Linked DNA regions of Xenopus tropicalis. The protein of the gene in region 1 interacts with the protein of each later gene in a biochemical or structural test. Links are inferred from orthologs where the notes say so. Each region holds a gene or a part of one and is shown on either strand. Other genes may lie near its edges. The genes, in order: rnf7, ube2f and ube2s.

Region 1 (4,096 bases):
TGACGTAAGCCCAGCATCTTAATCCACTCACTACTAGGTAGCCATGAACTCTCTCCCCGGGCTTAGAAATCCAGTCAGTTATTAACATACCCACACAGTCCTCCTGTTTGTTCTCAGCTTGGCAGCGCAGGCAGGCATCTAGAAAGGAAAACACACCTTCCATTAAAATATTTCCTCTTATAACCCTCTTCTGCCCAGCAGCAAAAAATAAATTATATAATGTGGCTAAACAGGAAGGAATTCCATGCAGAAGAGGCTTGAATCCAATCTGAGGTGCATGTGTGTATATAATCACAGACAGACCTATCTGACATGAGATTTTTCATTTCTACATAGACCAGGGTGAGGTAGGGATTTAATGCCAATGTAAATTAATGGGATAGTCGCAGGAACTGAATGGGTCCATGAGAGTCACAGGAAGACTAGTATGGATAAAAGAGGACGGAACTGTACCCAAACTGTTGTCACAAAGTAGAAAACATGGAACCGTCATTAACAGTATAGTACACTGTTTCTTTCAATGGGGCCCTAACTGATTATTATTCCTCCCCACCAAGCTTTAAATCTGCATTATGCATTCAGGTAGGGAGTGTCCAGCTGGTGTCTGTCACCCACACTCATTTGGTAAACAACTAGGATGGTAACAAGGGATTCATCTGACAAAGGCCTGTTCCCACTGCTCCCAATATCCTCCCCAGGAGAAGCTTAGCATTCCAAATGTTAGGCTTGCGTGACACTGCCCTCTCATAGAAATCCTTATTCTTACTTTACCAACAGTTCTTGTGCTGCCATTGCTTTCAGGAACAGTGTGGAGCTCAGAAGTGAGTGTTCCAACTGACGGATATGTGCTGTAATCTGCGCTCAGCATTGCCTGCGAGTATCCAGGCCCCACTACTTCACTTTCCCACCTACATCTCACCAGCACCAAAATCTCACAAACTAAATAGCAACAAAACAGACATCTTATGATGATGCCATGTTAAAAATCACTAAGTTTGGCAATATTTGTTGCTGGTGCTTCATTATACCCCCAGATCAGTAATGAGACTGAAGTGTGGCTTAAATAATAACTTCCACTAATCTGAAGGGGAGTCTGGATACTTCAAACCATATAGTGTTTGTTTGTGTATATTTCACAATATAGAGAACTAGATCCTTTATTAACATCAATGCTGTGGGACAAGTAGCCAACACTTTATGTTTTTTATCATTTATTTGAATAAATGATGTGACACAATGGGGTGTATGGGAATAAATGATGTGACACATTGGGGTGTATGGGAATAAATGATGTGACACATTGGGGTGTATGGGAATAAATGATGTGACACAATGGGGTGTATGGGAATAAATGATGTGACACAATGGGGTGTATGGGAATAAATGATGTGACACAATGGGGTGTATGGGAATAAATGATGTGACACAATGGGGTGTATGGGAATAAATGATGTGACACAATGGGGTGTATGGGAATAAATGATGTGACACAATGGGGTGTATGGGAATAAATGATGTGACACAATGGGGTGTATGGGAATAAATGATGTGACACATTGGGGTGTATGGGAATAAATGATGTGACACAATGGGGTGTATGGGAATAAATGATGTGACACATTGGGGTGTATGGGAATAAATGATGTGACACATTGGGGTGTATGGGAATAAATGATGTGACACAATGGGGTGTATGGGAATAAATGATGTGACACAATGGGGTGTATGGGAATAAATGATGTGACACAATGGGGTGTATGGGAATAAATGATGTGACACATTGGGGTGTATGGGAATAAATGATGTGACACAATGGGGTGTATGGGAATAAATGATGTGACACATTGGGGTGTATGGGAATAAATGATGTGACACATTGGGGTGTATGGGAATAAATAATGTGACACAATGGGGTGTATGGGAATAAATGATGTGACACAATGGGGTGTATGGGAATAAATGATGTGACACAATGGGGTGTATGGGAATAAATGATGTGACACAATGGGGTGTATGGGAATAAATGATGTGACACAATGGGGTGTATGGGAATAAATGATGTGACACAATGGGGTGTATGGGAATAAATGATGTGACACAATGGGGTGTATGGGAATAAATGATGTGACACAATGGGGTGTATGGGAATAAATGATGTGACACAATGGGGTGTATGGGAATAAATGATGTGACACAATGGGGTGTATGGGAATAAATGATGTGACACAATGGGGTGTATGGGCAGTAGTGTAACTGGTGGGCATGGGTGCAGTCCCACAGGGAATATCATGGCAAAATCCAAACAGATGGGGCAGATGGGGGGGTGAAAGCATTGGCACAGGGAGGGGGGGAAGGATGCTAAATAGCCAAGGGGCTATAGCAACATTACTGTCTATGGAGATTTGAGTCATCCAGGGGGGCATAAAAAGCTACTAGGAATGGGATGTCCCTCTCCCCCCAGGATGACAATACAGGAAGGGTAATGGTATATTCCATATACCGCCTGTGTGCGCCTGTCATTTCAGTAGGTGACAGTAACCCCCGGCCCCCACCAGAGACTGTATGGCCGATTCCCCAAGCAGGGCTGCTGCTGGCAGCGGAAGGTAATTCCCGCAACACGAAGCCTTCGCCCCAGTGCCAGCGAGCTGTATCTCTCACCCATGACCTGCACCCTGCAGATAGCGCACGTATCGCACTCCACATCCCAGCTCCACATCGCCACCGCGTTCCATTTCTTCAAGGAGAACATCTTGGGTCCGCTCGCTCCGTGCTCCTCCCGCAAAGCAGCCATACCGGCAGGGGGCGGCTCCTCAGATAGCCAATCCTTTCGATGTGCTGCGGTAATTGACCCAATGAGAGAAGAGCACAGGCTAAGCTAAGCCAATCGCTTTAGCAAAATATATCTGTAGAGCCAATCCCAGTACGCAAGACATAGGGTTACGCCCCTAGAGAAGCAACCAATAGCTATACTGGTTCTATTCGCCCGAAACAGTTAAGGGAAAGGCGCTGCGATTTGTTGCTGGGGCGGAGCATGGTGTTGCCTGATGTCAGTATTTGTGTTTAGTGACAAATATAATGAACATTAGGTTTATATTTAAAAGTGTTATCATTGATATATTCCTAGGTGAGGATGATTTTGCTCGTTTATCAACCCTGGGTGAATTTGCACATGGGCAGTAACCTATAGCAACCAATGACCAATTAGCTTCATTTCAGTCAGCTGCATGTAGAGTATTTATGTATGTATGTGTATATATATATATATATATATCTTTATTTATAAAGCGCTACTTATGTACGCAGCGCTGTACAGTAGAATACATTAATGTAAACAGGGTGTTAATAAGATAATAGATAAATACAAAGTATAACAATAAATACAGATAAATACAGCTGCAATAAGTTAAGAGTCAAAGACACAAGAGGATGGAGGTCCCTGCCCCGTAGAGCTTACAATCTATATGGGAGGGGTAACTTACAGACACAAATAGGCAAATATAAGTGCTGTAGGTCACAGTGGGTGACACTACAATATAAGTGCCAGTTCCCAGATCAGGTGCTGGGTGAGTCTAAAGTCTTTTAGTTTAGTCTTAAAAAGACTGGGGGAGGATTCTCTCCGGAGGACATCAGGGAGGGCATTCCAAATGTAAGGGGCAGAAAGGTTTAAGGCGGGAAACCGCAGTAGTAGTGGGGGGCGCAACCAAGCGATTGCTCTGCGAGGAACGAAGGAGTCGGCCAGGAACGTACGGAGACACAAGGGAAGAGATGTAGTGAGGAGCAGAGGAATAGAGGGCTTTGAAGGTTAGGAGGAGTTTGTAAAGGTGGCCATACACGAGGCGATTTCGCTCGTTGTGCGATGAACGATTATATCGACAAACGATCGTATGGCGATCGAGTTCCCATACGATATGCCATCCACGGGCAACGATAATTCGGGAAAGATTTTGTCGCATCATTATCGTAAAATACCTACGATCGTACATCTACGTACGATCGATGTCGTTGACTTCTGCTGCTGGCAATCGTGACATGCGCAGAGAACAATCGTTGAAAGACAAATGTCTGACACTCACACCAACTGGCAGATTTTATCGTT
Region 2 (4,222 bases), on another chromosome or scaffold:
GTCTATGTAAATACAGCCATAAGCACTCACAGAAACGCTGCACTGAGTCCACTGTCAAAAGATTTGTTGTCTCTTTGTTTTCCTGTGTCAGAGACTCACAGCTCTCTCCCCTCTCCTGCTCCCCCCTCCCTCAAGAATGCTAAGAACTCACCCCCCCCTTAGGAATGTGGATCTGAGCCAATCAGCAGGACACTTCCTCATTGTCTTACAAACTGCGCATTTACACCGGTCTTGGTGCAGGAGCGAGGCATTATGGGAACTCAGAGCTCAGCTTTTTTTTTTCCTATGAGGCTTCTGATCATCTGAACAGGAGAAATATGGGGAGACGTAAGGGCACTATTGAGAGAACTGAAGGTATGCCTGCAGCTTGAGAAACTCTATTAGCCTTTCCTTCTCCTTTAAGGAATGTCTAATGTATTAACAAAAAATGGCTTTGAAGAAAAATGTAGACAAATCACCCAGCGTATGTTACAGTTTGGCTGGATCTAAGCAAAGCAAGGAAAAACAAGGTGAAAAAGCAGGGGGAAACAAATCATAAATAAACTTTTTGACTTGTTTTGACAACCCCTTTAAGACACACTGGAATATCATACTGACAGTGTCCCATGTGTAGCACGGTCTTATCTGTAAAGAAACTATATATAAAATATAAGATTGGTCTAAGGAATATAGGGTTTCACAGAGGTAGCAGTCTCCATATCTACGGGCCTTATAGAACTACGAAACTTTGCCTCATAACATCACCAACACTAGGAATATAGTTACATTATCATCTGTAAAAACAAAAGGACTTCCACTCCAACAAAAGCTTCAACATACAGGCCAAAAGTTTAGAAAAAGTAAAAAAGTTTGTATTTAGATAACATGCCGGCCTAATGCATTTCGTGCCCATCTGGCACTTGAAGCAGCACGCATGCAAAAAGATGTGCAGCACGACTGACATAGCCGACACTGGGATTACATTTTAGGATACTAGAATTCAGTGATGAGTTGAGGTGTTTAGTTGGTCAAACAAAGAATTTAAAGGGATTCTGCCATGATTTTATGAAGCACTTTATCTTTCTAAATTGCAAAACATATTTTTTTAATTGGCGTGTAGGTGCCATCTCAGTGTGTTGTGCCTGAGTCTGAACTTTCAGAAGGAGCCAGCGCTACACATTAGAACTGCTTTCAGGTAACCTATTATTTCTCCTACTTCAATGTAACTGAAGGAGTCATGAGCCGGACTTGGATTTTCTACGGAGTGCTATTATGAGATCTACCACTTTTAGCAATACAGGTGTCAGGGAGCTGCTATCTTGCTCCGTTCCCACTGTTCTGCTGATCAACTGCTGGGAGGGGGGTGATATCACTCCAACTTGCAACACAGCAGTAAAGTGTGACTGAAGTTTATCAGAGCACAAGTCACATGACTGTGCACCCTGGGAATCGAAGAATATGGCTAACCCCATGCGAAATTTTAAAATTAAATATTAAAAAATTTGTGCTTTAAAAAAATGGATATCAGTGCAGGATTCCGCTGGAGAAGATCTATTAACTGATGCGTTTTAAAAAAAACATGCTGTATAATAAAAGTCCTTTGCAAATTATGAAACCCAAATTTGTTTGTTTATTAAAACATCCATACTTGTTTCAAATGTATTTAAAAAGTTCAGTTGTCAGTCCTATATTGGATTCCGCACCTCTGTGCCTCAGACATAGCAATCACTTTCACTTTCCATTTTGCACTTCCTAGATGTCACTTTCCTCCACTGACAATCATTGTGTAGCCTGTGAATGGGTGTCAGGTCCCCCATTCTGGTGCATAAACAAGAATTCTGAACAATGCAATGCTTGGTGCCTGCCTTTTGCTGTGATTGTAACTTCCAAGACTGAATATATAGTCCAACTGGAGGTCTTGGGTCTGATGTGGCCTTCCACAGGACCCCAGTCTTCTCGGGGGGTGGGGGGGGGGCTTCACTGTATGACATCATCTTTTCAATATAATCTGCGACTTAAACATGCTGTATAAATAAATGTTGGCCTCACCATGTAAGCATTTGGACAACACTTATGTAGTAAAAGTAAACTTTGACTAACATGACTAAAAATGGGATTTGGAATTATATCTTAGATTGACATGTTTCCTTTAAAAAATAATAGTATTACATTTTATTGAACTTTAATCACCTGTTCATATTATTTCTTTACGGGTGGCACTTACAAAGAATCTGATTCAAACATGGGTTTAAAATCAGCTGTGCGCCCCACTTTAAATTCCTTTTTTTATTACAAGAACCCTTTCTTAAGCCCCCCCCCCCCCCCCCAATCAGCAGCGGGACAGATATTTGGAAGTTATGCATGCCCAGCAAGCTCCATCTGTTACTCTAAACTGGGGTCACAATTAGCAAGCCCAGGTCAGAAGGGGTACAGCCTAGAAGTAGCCTCTGACTGTAAAAAACTGGCAAATAAATGCTATTTATGTGGGGGGCCACACGTTGTTCCCAAATATGATGATCCCAAGCCCCCAACATACAGATTTAGTTGTGTGAAGATACTGGGATTGTAGTACAGAAATAGTTAGGAATGGGTTAAAGAGAAGCTTGCTCTGATGTACAGTACAGACTACTACTGTATAAAAAACAGCACCAGTGACTCCTTCAGTACTAAGTATTATTGATACATTATTACATTACATCAATGACTGCTGTAAATATGAAAGGCAGGCAACCTTCTGGGCACCCTAATTGCTGCCTTGCCACATACCGCCCAACAGCCCCTCTTTTTCCGGGACAGTGCCGATTTTCTTATCACAGCCCGCAGTCCCGGATCGCTGTTAAAAAGTCCCTCAGCCCCGTTAGGGTCTAGCTCCTTAACTCCTGCCGGACAGCGAATCCGCACGTCACACCGCTCATCTCGCGAGTTTATGACGTCACACAGCACGTATATAAGCGCTGGAACGCCGCACGTAGCCGCCCAGTGGGAGTGGTGAGGGAACGCGGAGTGGGGTAGTGCGTTATGGGCACTAGTGAGGTTGTGTTGGGCTTGCTCGTTATATTTTTATTAGAGGAAAAATACATTTTTTCGTGGTGGTTGCAACCCACGGTTGCTGCTACCAGAGCTTTGGCTCCCAATGTTTGACCAAGCCTTAAGTAATTCATGCTTTCTTTGCTATCTAGAATTTGCACATATGCTAGGAAAAATATTCTGTGGAGTTCCAGCTGCAGCTAGAGTATCTGCGCCTAGTATTTTATTAGGCGCAGGGTTTTCAACTTACACTTCTACTTGTGTCAGGAGCAAAAGAGGGGAATACTTTCCAGCATTACCTGCCATAGCATTTGCTGCCCATGTATAACCAAACATTCAGTTGTTTTTATCTCTGCTCAGAGCTCCCACCAATGCAAGAAAACCAAAAAAAGATGTTCTTCCTGGTTGCCAACAATACGTGCTAAAGCTGATTCTCATCTCAGTTTGGAGACAAAATAATGACTAATTTAGAATACAATGGGTGAATGAAGCAAAAGTAGGATCTTTTCTTAGAGTGGAATCAGGGGCCCAGTATTTTTGTGAAAGCAAGGGGTAGATTTAGTCAAAATTTGTGGCAAAAAAGGGCTACTTTAGGTGAATACAATGACTGAAATTGACCAAAAGTTATCGTGAGTTTTTAGGTCCTTTTTTTTTTGTAAAGTGTCATCCAAGGGTTTTTAGAGTTTTATGTGAAACCAGATTTTTCACAATACAGGGAGGACTGTTTAAGGTGAATATAATGGGTAAAATATACTAACAGTAATGTTTTAGGCATTGAAGAGTCCCAGTGTTTTTTGTGTAAACAAGGGTCAGATTTTTCACTATTGTGGAACCAAACAATACTTAATTTAGTAAAATTGACCAAAGGTAGTCTAGCAGGCTAGCGCTGGAAAGGGTTTCCCCTGTTTCACAGAGGAGTTAGACCACACAAGCTGTCACCCACAACTATCCAAAAATGGGGAAATATGGGCTAAACCCAAAGAGTACCTTTGATCAGATGTTGTGGGTCAGATTTAACCTGATCCATTGTGGAACACCACCATCAAAGTTCATGTAATTCTATGCAAAAAAAAGTTGCTCCAACTGAATCTGACTATCTTGTTGGATGTGACACAGCATGCACGTGTTGGGCTTGCTGGTTATATTTTTATTAGAGGAAAAATACTTTTTTTTCGTGGTAGTTGCAACCCATGGTTGCGGCTACCAGAGCTTTGGC
Region 3 (4,335 bases), on another chromosome or scaffold:
TTTGGTGGTGCTGCTGGGAAGTCTTTGCCCAAAATCAGCTTCATTCGAAAGATACCTCCTGCATATGGAGTGCCTTCTGTAAAATATTTAGAATGTATTTGAATAGTGGAGATTAATACATACACATTACAGAACAGATAGATAAGTCATTAAAAAATGTTGTCGCTAAAATTTACAAGTAGACACCCCTTTCCAACATTAATGTAATAATTAGGGCCTATGCTGAACATACTTTTTGCCTATTTAAATATCTATGGCTTTCATTTTATGCAGTTAACAGGGCAAAATCTGAAACTACCATATATAAGCAAGTATAAGCCGAGGTACTTAATTTTACCTAAGAAAACTGGAAAACCTATTGACTTGAGTATAAGCCTAGGGTGAGAAATGTAGCAGCTACTGCTAAGTTTCAATAATCAGTTAATAAAAGGACAACTCTGCGTGACCCCCTGTGAATTCTACATAAATATATAATGTTGGCAGCTGCAGATTGTCGAGTAATATATCTCCAGAACACTTATGTATTAACAATTAAAGCAAACTGTCATGATATAGTGATAATGGGGCATCTGTCCTTCCATAGGGCTTAGTGAAAACCTGGTGGGAATTATTTTCTACCATAGGTGAAAAAGTGCAGAATGCCAACACAGGTACTAGCTAGGCCCTAGCTTAGACGGAGGAGGAGACTGACTAACTCATTTATTTATGGCAGGGGTCCTCAAACTATGGCCTGCAGGGGGGCCATAGCTTGAGGACCCCTGTTCGAGCCTGTCAGGTTGGCAGGGGCAGCAGGGGGTCACACAAAGGGGGTCTGGAGGGACCCATGGCACCTGACACATTTTGGGTGCTGAAAAACTTGGCTTATACTCGAGTATATACGGAAAATGTAAAGTCAAATTTCTTCCTGTTTATACAAGTGCAACCAAAAGAAGCCCACACACCATTAAGCTCTGAAAAATGGGGTATACTGCCCCCTTTTGAGGCCTATGGAACATGACTTTTTGATTGATAGCTGAAGTAGAAATTGTACCTGGAAGAGACCAGACTCCTGTTTTAGGGGTTAGTCCCAGAAGAAAAACTGTAATGAATGTATACTGGAAAGTTGCTTAGTGCAATATTTTCTCTCACTATGCAAATATAGGTTTTTGTATACACCCATTTTACTAAGGCTTAAAACTACAGGTCACCTGAGAACTACAAGAGTTTCAATAAGGAGCTACTCATTGTTAGAAGACAACTCTCCTGCTTTGCAAATGAATCCAACATAAGATGGGTTGGGGGCCCTCAGTCAGCCCTAGAATTCTTACACCACCACCTAGAGGTGGCAGAAACCTTATGGAGCATAAGGAAGCGCCCCAGCTAACTTGTTATGTGTATAACGTATTATCGGGGGGCACTTGCTCATTAGGTCTATACCCCAACAGGGAGTTCTAGGTGTGCAACAGGGTTTTTTCTTTTGAAATATACTATTGTTTCCACCATACAGAGTGCAGGCTCTTAACATGCACCACTGGGATAGAGGGAACAATTTGTAGGCAATAGGTACCCTGTAAGAGATCTTTTACCAGAGGCCTGTGAAAAATATTTACCTTGTGAGGGGAATTTTAGAAACACCTCCAGTGATTATATAAACTTACCTGATAGCCTGGGCCAGAGATCCTGTTAGCAGAAAACTGCACAGACCTGAGGTACTTCTGTAAGTGACCAGTGTGAATGTGCAGTAAAGTTAAAAGCTGACTTTGTAAACTGCACTACACATGTGCTGGCCCGGGGCAAGAAGGAAGAATCGGAGGGTTGCGACAAAGTTTTCATACAGAAGAACCCAGGGTCGGTGCAGTTTTGAGACAAAAAATTGAAGATCTTTGGCAGTAACACTACTGAACCATACATTCCTAATTACAACTCAGCTATACCTCACCTGGTCCTTCAATGTTAACTTGGACATCAGTTATATCTTCTTCATTTGGAATGATCTTTATTCCTTCTGGAGGGTCAGATGTCAGAGTGGAGACTTCTTTATAGACCTGACGAATGATGTGTGGGGGCAAGTTTTCAACGTTTGAATTCTGTAAGAAAAAAAAGATAACTAATCATTACTAAACAATAACCATATCTAGTTGCTTTATAGTAATTAGTACCAACTGACTAGGAAATCCGGTATCAAAGCAGCATCACAGGCTGATACCTCTCATTCATAACTCCCAAAACCCAGCATTATGCTCATCATAAAGAACTGCTGGAGATCTAGAGTAGGGTATGATAACCAAATAAGACCAGTAGCGATATCACGGGCCAGACAAGGCAACAACAAAATCAGATGCAATAGTAAATGTATTATCAGATTGAAAATATACAGATATTACCATTTCCCTAAGCCAGTCAGGCCAACCTACAGGCCCAATTATACAAAACATTTCCCTGGTACCAGTATGACAGCTCCCTGACAGCTCAGATGCACATACAGAGTCCCCAAACTCATGGGGTACAAAGCCAGCGATGGAAACGGATGGGAGAAGTCAGAAAGGGTTTCGGGGAAGATTAGGAAATGTATTTCCTTCCCAGTCAGCCCTCAGAGGGGTAGAAGCTGAATGTACAGCACATGATGCTGCCAATCTAGGTATATACATTAGCAATGCTGCCAATCTAGGTATATACATTAGCAATGCTGCCAATCTAGGTATATACATTAGCAATGCTGCCAATCTAGGTATATACATTAGCAATGCTGCCCTGACACAGTGGAACTGCGCCTCCCCCGATCCCCATAAGAGCAGGAAAGCCCCGATACTTACCATGCCTCTCTGTGCCAAACGGGGGACGGAGGAGAACTGTTCAGCGCCGTGACGGTGTTTGATTCTCTGAGGCTGGGTACGAACAGTCCAGGCCTAACTGTAATTCTACCCAATTAAAAACAAAAAAAAAGGATATGACGTTGGTGAATAACACGGTCTGGGCCTAGTCCTGCATACAAGCGTCAACACTTATAGTTTCTTCTATTTTTTACTTTATTTTTTTTTATATTTCCTTCTTTGGTTCCCACCCCAGTTCCCAGACCCAAGCCACCTATCCTTCCTTTCACTCCCCCGGCACTAAGCCTCTCTTGCTTACCGACGCCCCTTCATATAACCTTCGGCTGCTTGTAGGCACGCCTCACTCCCACTCCGCTAGCTCCTCCAATCGCAAACGTGGCGCGTCACGTGTTTACACCAATAAACTGCTAGGAAATGGAACCCGCCCCCATTGAAAGTGTTTGACATTTGCGCTAACCAGTAACGTAGCAGAATCATTAAGTGACAGCCGTAAGAGGGAGGTTGTTAGGCTGTTACCGATTGGACAGTTTGAATATAACTAAGTGACGTAGCTGGATTGGGTGCAGTTATGTAAAGCGTACGTTAGTTTTTGTTCCTGGGGAAGTGAGAGCGCTGGGCCATAGGGTTTCCGGTGGTTGCTAGGGGGAATGGTTATAGGACGGCCGAGGTGTACAAGGCTGGTTGTTGCTGTTCTTACCGCCGAATGCTATTTTTAATAGTAATAGCAAAATAAAACTGCTAATAAAAACAGCTGTGTGTCTGCAAATGAAGCAAGTGAATATTTGTTATTGATATAGAGGCCGACAGATCTACATTTCAATTGTTCTGCGCATGAGTCTCAATGAAAGTGATTGGCATGTATTTAGCTGACAGGCTGCTGGACTAGGGCAGGGGTGTCTGTGTTGTAAGGGAGGCCTGCAATAACTGGCCAGAAAAGAAATAAGGATGGAATTTAATATAATTGCTTATAGTTTCTAGCGGATATCACCTTGTCTGAACAGTCTTGCATGTGTCTTGGCCACACTCCCACAGAAGGCAAATTCTGGACAATCAGTAGCCTGCAATGCTGCAAAGAGTATTTGTGTACAAGCCACAGCAAGCAGGATACTTGCCCCCTCATTGCTGTACAAGCCACAGCAAGTAGGATACGGACCCCCTTCATTGCTGTACAAGCCACAGCAAGTAGGATACTGACCCCCTTCATTGCTGTACAAGCCACAGCAAGTAGGATACTGACCCCCTTCATTGCTGTACAAGCCACAGCAAGTAGGATACTGGCCCCCTCATTGCTGTACAAGCCACAGCAAGCAGGATACTGGCCCCCTTCATTGCTGTACAAGCCACAGCAAGTAGGATACTGGCCCCATCATTGCTGTACAAGCCACAGCAAGTAGGATACTGGCCCCCTTCATTGCTGTACAAGCCACAGCAAGTAGGATACTGGCCCCCTCATTGCTGTACAAGCCACAGCAAGCAGGATACTGCCCCCCTTCATTGCTGTACAAGCCACAGCATGTAGGATACT

The links.
Region 2: the proteins of rnf7 (region 1) and ube2f form a complex in vitro, tested with the Homo sapiens proteins (10 studies listed by BioGRID, with this or other methods). The link is inferred for Xenopus tropicalis from reciprocal best matches to the Homo sapiens genes RNF7 and UBE2F.
Region 3: the proteins of rnf7 (region 1) and ube2s form a complex in vitro, tested with the Homo sapiens proteins (3 studies listed by BioGRID). The link is inferred for Xenopus tropicalis from reciprocal best matches to the Homo sapiens genes RNF7 and UBE2S.

The regions. Positions count from the first base shown.
Region 1 is NC_030681.2:129,414,174-129,418,269, reverse strand, and holds the start of rnf7 (RING-box protein 2), read right to left. Parts: upstream 2,831-4,096; 5' UTR 2,792-2,830; coding exon 2,659-2,791; intron 139-2,658; coding exon 91-138; intron 1-90. UniProt on the Homo sapiens protein: Catalytic component of multiple cullin-5-RING E3 ubiquitin-protein ligase complexes (ECS complexes), which mediate the ubiquitination and subsequent proteasomal degradation of target proteins.
Region 2 is NC_030685.2:59,017,085-59,021,306, reverse strand, and holds the start of ube2f (NEDD8-conjugating enzyme UBE2F), read right to left. Parts: upstream 2,848-4,222; 5' UTR 2,746-2,847; intron 1-2,745. UniProt on the Homo sapiens protein: Accepts the ubiquitin-like protein NEDD8 from the UBA3-NAE1 E1 complex and catalyzes its covalent attachment to other proteins. Together with the E3 ubiquitin ligase RNF7/RBX2, specifically neddylates cullin-5 (CUL5).
Region 3 is NC_030683.2:106,141,894-106,146,228, forward strand, and holds the start of ube2s (ubiquitin-conjugating enzyme E2 S), read right to left. Parts: upstream 2,854-4,335; 5' UTR 2,796-2,853; coding exon 2,793-2,795; intron 2,067-2,792; coding exon 1,919-2,066; intron 77-1,918; coding exon 1-76. UniProt on the Homo sapiens protein: Accepts ubiquitin from the E1 complex and catalyzes its covalent attachment to other proteins. Catalyzes 'Lys-11'-linked polyubiquitination.